Regions from separate parts of the Mus musculus genome. Here region 2 is reported to be linked to region 1. The links are microRNA targets in miRTarBase. Many come from high-throughput screens and were not tested one by one. Region 1 holds a microRNA gene; the other region holds the end of a gene's coding sequence.
What was found. Region 1 holds the annotated microRNA mmu-miR-141-5p (CAUCUUCCAGUGCAGUGUUGGA, at 1,457-1,478, shown strand). A microRNA usually pairs through its seed, bases 2 to 8, with sites in the 3' UTR of a target mRNA and lowers its output. Matches are read on the target gene's strand: a 7mer-m8 pairs with bases 2 to 8, a 7mer-A1 pairs with bases 2 to 7 and ends in A, and an 8mer does both.

Region 2: miRTarBase lists Sdc2 as a target of mmu-miR-141-5p. The part of its 3' UTR that is shown has no 7-base or 8-base seed match.

What each region holds. Positions count from the first base shown.
Region 1 is chr6:124,716,036-124,719,436 of GRCm38, reverse strand. It overlaps Mir141 (microRNA 141), which reads left to right and starts at 1,452; the gene lies at 1,452-1,523. It overlaps Phb2 (prohibitin 2), which reads right to left. Exons shown (of 10, transcript NM_007531.2): 9 at 3,007-3,012; 10 at 2,492-2,831. The coding sequence ends at 2,804. It overlaps Mir200c (microRNA 200c), which reads left to right and starts at 1,047; the gene lies at 1,047-1,115.
Region 2 is chr15:33,031,577-33,034,977 of GRCm38, forward strand. Sdc2 (syndecan 2) reads left to right here. Exons shown (of 5, transcript NM_008304.2): 5 at 801-3,145. The coding sequence ends at 964. Among named protein-coding and RNA genes, the nearest start is that of Gm32764, 37 kb to the right of the region's middle.

The sequences.
Region 1 (3,401 bases):
GGCTCTGCAGATCAGAGGTGGGTTGCAAGGACCGTCTCTCCTGGTTTAGCTGCAGTAGGGCTAGGAGTTTCGGGAAGGGAGGCCTTTGGGCCCAGGCAGACACTGCCATCTCAGGGTAAAACCAAAGATCCGGCGCAATGCTTGGCGATCCACAGGTCTGTTGGGGCTTCCTCCCTTCCCAGTTCTCAAGGGGTTGTTGCCCGGCCCTGTCTGAGCCCTGGACAGGGACACAGACCAATGCCTGCCTAGCTGACCCCACACTGACCTCAGGGCTGGTCCTCTGACTCTGGCTGAGAGCAGGGTTGGAGAGGCCTCAGAGAAGAGGGTGTTTTAGCTTGGGAGGAAGGAGCCGCTGGAAGGGGATCCAAAGATGGCCTCTTTCTTTATTCCTTTAGAAACAGGGAAAGTACAAGGTAGAAGAAGAAAGGCGGCCAGAAAGGGCGGGAGGCCTGGCGGGGTGGCCAGGCCTCAAGAGGAGGTGCCCAGGGCTGGTGCTGGGAGGGAAGGGGTTAAGGCGGAGAGGGGGGCAGCCTATGGCAGGAGGACACACCTGTGCGCAGGGCAGAGGCGGGCGGGGCCCAGGTGAGGCGCCTGTGCTGCCCGGCAGGTGAAGGAGGAAGAGCGAGAGTGGAGGCCAAGTCGGCTCTAGGCGGCTGAATCCGGGCCGTTGGTACACCTTTCTTTCTTCTGCACCACTCTAGGGGTCAGGCGGGTCTGGTGCCAGGTAAAGGCCACCGATCAGGGGGGTCCTGGGGCTGCGCTAGCGACGGTAGAACGCAGTAAATGGGTGTGTTGGAGGGCAGGGACAGGCCGTGGAATGGGGGGGGGGGGACTGGCTCGCAGGTGGATAGTAGAGGCTACAGAAAGCTGGTTTTGGCCTCAGTGATGGGCAAGTCAGGGTAGGCCTGGTGGGGAGCAGCCAGGCTCTCCCGGAAGTGTCCCAAATGACGCGGAGGTGGGGGATGGGAGCAGGAGATCTGCCGCTTCTCTTGAGGGGCTTGGGCTTAGCCAGGGCTGATCTTGAAGGTGGACTGGTTGGGTAGGGGCCCTCGTCTTACCCAGCAGTGTTTGGGTGCTGGTTGGGAGTCTCTAATACTGCCGGGTAATGATGGAGGCCCCTGTCCCAGTGTCATCGGCGTCCATTGCGCGTCCATCGCTTTAGGCACTTTTATCTGGCAGCAACCCATTCCTCCCACACATAACCTGGAAGCCCCTTCTTCCGAGTTAAGGGTGGCTCTCGGGTTGGCTGGTTGCCCACTGGAAGAACACAATGGCCCCAGCCCCTCCTCCAATCCAGTGTGATTTGTCATCTGGTAGATCCAGAACCTACTAGAAGCAGACCTTGGCCTTGGGATTGTCTACGCGCACACAAGAGGCCACAGTCAGCCAGCCAGCAGCGGCTTCCCTCTAGCGCTTGATCAGCGGTAGATCAATTTATATTGGCTGGCTCTGGGTCCATCTTCCAGTGCAGTGTTGGATGGTTGAAGTATGAAGCTCCTAACACTGTCTGGTAAAGATGGCCCCCGGGTCAGTTCCTTCAGCAGTGACCTTGGAGCCTTGAAGACCACCTAGGCCTCCAGGCCAACAGCCTCTGACCTTTAACCTTCTGGATGGGTGTGTGTGTGTGTGTATCACTTGGCAAAGGGGAACAATGGGAAAGAGACAAAATGGCTGCCTTCAGAACAGCAGCAAGATTTGGAAACACATTTGGTCCCAAGACGCTGGCTTCCGTTGTCTTTTCACCCTGGGAACCTGAATGTCCATGGGGAACGTGGGATACGATTCCGGTCCATTCGGTGGTCTGTCTTAGGCTTCAGGAGAGACCTACTTCCTCTAAGAACCCAAGGAGCTGAAGCTCTGCTGCACCCTCTCGCCCAGTCAGGCTCACCCTTCCTCTATTGTATTCTTGTCTGCCCAGAAGGAAAAAACCAAGGCAACGGTTCTAGCGAAGTCCGTGAGCAATGGCTTGATTTCCCCAGTACTGGAGACTCGGTCTTCGTAAGAAAGGTAGTCTGTGGAAAATAGGTTCAGTTGGGCTCCCGGGCTGTGGGGGTGGGAAGGCCTCCTCCACAGGGAGAAACTTCAGTGCAAATAGCTCATCGTACCTGGTGACTAAGTAACAGCACACCGGGACTTAGGAACACGGAAACCCTTGGGAGGAACACGCCATCTCCCGGAGCTAACCAGGAGCTGGTTACCAAGGAAGCAGCTCCCCCTGGGGTCATCACGTTTTTAGTTTGGCTCAGCAAAGCCTCAGCTGCTTCAGCTTTTAAAAAGATGTCATTAAGTCTGTGGGTTCATTTGGTAGACCTGCGGGTGGGGTGAAGGTGTAGTTGGGCCTGAGATCGGCTGCTCCCAGCTTAGGTCCTGTTGAGGACCCGGCGGCAGTCCGAATGCTACAGGCCAGACTGCTTGTGCCCTCTGCTGGCCGAGTCCCAGTGTGATCAATGTCTTCGCGCAATCTACGTACACACTCAGACACAAAATTTTTGGCTTTAAGTAATAAAAATTTTATTGAGAATTCCTGGCATGGTGGTTATCTCCCCCACTCTGGGAGAGGCTCAAGGCTGTAGGAAATCACGGAGAAATCACATTGTCCCACCCCGCTTCCCAGCCAACACAGGAAGGAGGAAAGCCTCTGAAAGGGCTGGTCTCAGTCTTCCTTAATCCAAGAGGGCAGATACAGAAAAGTCCATCACATGATGCCTGGGGCAGGGTGGGCTGTGCTTGACCCCCGAGCTGGCTCCTCCAAGCTGGACAAGTGTGCCAACTTCTCTGGTGGTGGGGTTCTTGATGTCCACACTCATTTCTTACCCTTAATGAGGCTGTCACTGGAGAACAAAGGGAACATTCCTATTATCGGGGATGTAAGTGTGAGGTGCACAACACCCCAAACCACAGCTTCTTCCTAAATAAAGGCCTGACAATGGGGAGAAAGGGGGTGTAGGGGCAGGTCCAGGAAGCAGATGGCCCCCAGGACCCCATAGCAAGGAGGCAGCCACTTACCTTCCCCTGCAACCAGCATGCCATGAAGTGAGCAGGAAATATGTGAAAAGAGAAATAAATCGTTAGTCAGCTACAGGCTCAGCTGCTCCAGACCCGCACTCCCCAGTGAGGACGGCTCTTTGCCACTATCTGTGCGGTCCCAGCAACGTGGGTCTCACGTGAAATTGCTACCAGTCGTCACTTCTCATTTAGATATTTATAAAGTGCCTTTCCCATAAGACATCCTGCTTTGCTTTATAAAGTCAGTCCTAGAAGATGCAAGATAGGAACTGCCAACCAGACTGACACCCACTTTTCTGACTGGTGTTCAGAGAAACTGTCCACGGCCCTGGTAACTAGATAGTCCAGGATCCAGGGTAGTGGACGGGTGCTTTGCTCTCTGGACAGTGGGATCT
Region 2 (3,401 bases), not on the chromosome of region 1:
ATAGCGTTTGAAATGTAAATGAATAAAATATCTAATAAAAAAATAAAAAAAAAAGAAGGGGGATCAAAATACCCCTGAGAGGAGATACAGAAACCAGGTTTGGAGCAGAAACTGAAGGATAGTCTGTCCAGTGACTGTCCCACCTAGGGATCCATCCCATATACAGTTACCAAACCCAGACACTATTGTGGATGCCAACAATCAATTGCTGGCAGGACCTGATATAGCTGTCTCATGAGAGGTTCTGCCAGTGTCGGACAAATGCAGAAGTGGATGTTCACAGCCATCCATTGGATTGAGCACAGGGTTCCCAGTGGAGGAGCTAGAGAAAGGACCCAAAGAGCTGAAGGGGTTTATAGCCCAATAGGAGGAACAACAATATGAACCAACCAGTACCCCCATAGCTTCCAGGGACTAAACCACCAACCAAAGAGTACACATGGAAGGACTCAAGGCTCCAGCCGCATATGTAGCAGAGGTTGGCCTTGTGAGACATCAATGAGAGGAGAAACCCTTGGTTTTGTTAAGGCTATCCAGTGTATCCCCAGTGTAGGGGAATGCCAAGACAGGGAAGTGGGAGTCTGTGGGTTAGGGAGCAGGGGGGAGGGCGAATGGATGGGTGCAGTCGAATGGGGAAATGAGGAGAGGGGATAAAATTTGAAATGTAAGTAAAGAAAATATATAATAATTAAAAAAAAAAACTTGAGTTCTCAAATCATTTATAAAAATATCAATAGGTTGGAACTGGCCAAACTAATTCCTGAAAGCCTTGACCTTCTCTTTTTCTTCTCTTATCTCAGCCGTCATTGCTGGTGGTGTGATCGGCTTTCTCTTTGCCATTTTCCTCATCCTGCTATTGGTGTACCGCATGCGGAAGAAAGATGAAGGAAGCTACGACCTTGGAGAACGCAAACCATCCAGCGCAGCTTACCAGAAGGCACCCACTAAGGAGTTTTATGCATAAAGCTCCCATTTAGTGTCTCTATTTAGGAGAGCACTGAACTTTTCAAAATAAAGCTTTGGCATAGAATAATGAAGATCTTTGTTATCTGTTTTGTTCATTACAGAGCCATACTGGCCCTTTAATGATGAGAATTCCATTGTATTTAAATTTTTTCGTGTATTTCTTTAGAATGACATAAAAGTAAAAATCTAACATCTGCAGTGTTCTGTGAATAGCAGTGGCAAAATATTATGTTATGAAAACCCCTGACATTCATGGAATTGATTTGAACATCTATGTGCAAATACAAAATGATTGTGTTTGTCCTCTGGTTCAAAGATGACTGCTACTCCCCCTTGTCAGCAAGTCTCCAGTTAACCTTACTGAGTTGGTCTTCATTTATTTATCTCTTGTCCCTCTTCTCTACCCTCCCTTCTTGTCACCTTTCTTAGAAACAAAACCTTATGCCTTTTGTAGCTGTCATGGTGCAATTTGTCTTTGAATGATTACAATAATGGTAATTTAGTGTATATGTGATTTTTCTCAAATATGTTAACCTTAACCTCCACTTTATATAATGTTTTTAAATATCAGACTATCCATTTTATGCTTGCTTTAAATTTCATTACTTGTAGCTTCAGGCAGATTTGCAAAGGCAAATTAATGTGTAAAATTGGATTATTACTACGAAACTGTTTAGTCCTAGCTATCTTCTTTTGGGAGGATTTGACATAACGGACAAGCCTCAGCAAACCCAAAGATGCTAACAGTATTTTGAGAAGTTGCTGCAGATTCCTCTGGCCACTGTACTTGTTAATTTCTTGTCATTTGAAGGTACGAGAAAGAGTTTAAAGAAAAAAAAAAAAGATCAGTTTTTGTTCTTAACATGCATTTAAATTGCAAACATCTTTTTAAGCCTTTGAAGTGCCTATGATTCTATGTAACTTGTTGCGGACTGGTGTTAATGAGTATATATAACAGTTTTTAAAAAGTTGGTATTTTATAAGCACAGACAATTCTAATGGTAACTTTTGTAGTCTTATGAATAGACATAAATTGTAATTTGGAAACAACAAAAAAACCTGCTGAATAAATCACATGGCCTAATATTGAAAATGTCACTGTTATAAATTTTGTACATTTCTTACCAAATGTACATCTCCCCTTGCTGTGACTGACCGTCTGCTCTCAGTGACTATATGGGTTTGGTTTCTGAGTATCTCATGGTGTCTGTCAATCAAGACCAAAGAACCCCTCAGTGAGGCTGTTAATTACGAGATTTACCTCTAAATTGTTCAGAGGAAAAGTATTGTTATTCTGCATGTATTTGGGTGCAGGAATAGGATGACTGCCAGGGGATTTCAAGGTTTGCAGCCTTTGTAGTGTAGCTACTGACAATATTGAGAGAGATGCCTTCTTTTGCAATTTACTCTTAAAAGTATAAATTCCAAAGAAGCAAAGCGACCTTTCTAGAAGTAGGTGTCTGGGGAACAGACCTATAGAATTGCTTACCTGTCAAAGCTCCCCTACAGAAGAACCCTGTAAGTGACAACCACAGCCACTCCATGGGGTAGGAGGGAAGGTAGGGGGCTCTGCCTGTTGAATGACAGCCTGGCTGCTTAAGATGGATGTTTCTAGAAAAGGTAATGCCAGAGGAGGAGTTGGAGGCATGGGGGTGCCCCGATTGGGTACTCACTGAACAGAGCATTTCCTTTTTTTGTTCTGTTTTCTATTTTACCATTAGTTTTTAGTTTTAAACTGTGAGCCATGGAAGTAGAAAGAAGACAGCAAGATCCGCAGCTTTTCCAGCATAAAATTAACTTTTGATAAAGTTTGGCTACTTCGTTTGAGCACCTTCCCTGAGCTTGTCACAGAACACATTTAAACAAAACTAAAGTAACACTTGAAACAGTGCTGTGTCTGAATCTTTAATGGCCTTAATTCATACCTTTCTGTCCAATTACAGCTGTAATTCACCATGTTAAAAGGAAATGATGGGCCCTTCCAAAGCTGCACAATGCCCCTCAATTACGGAGGCTGAGAATGTAGTGGGTATACCTCTAACTGTGTGAAACAGTGGAATTTAATTTGTAGAATAACTTGCTTGGAATATCTATGCCAGGGAAAAAAAAATCCTGGCAAATATTTTGTCACTGCTGTAAAGCACATTTGTTAAAAGTGCCAAAATAAAGTCTGTCATGCCGAAAGTAACTCATTGTATAGACTCACATCCAATTTTCTGTATACTCTCTGCTTAGTGTGGTTTAAAAAAACAAAAAACAAAAAACTTTAAAGATATGGTAAATAATATCATAAAACTGTTATTAGTCATTACTGAGTTGAGAAAAATTTTGGTAAAACATAAATATTAAAGCCAGTGTGGTATTTCCTGCTTTTTAAAGCACATGTGAACAAACTCCCTGTGTGAGTATTGCTTTTTGTTTGAGAGACTGTAGCA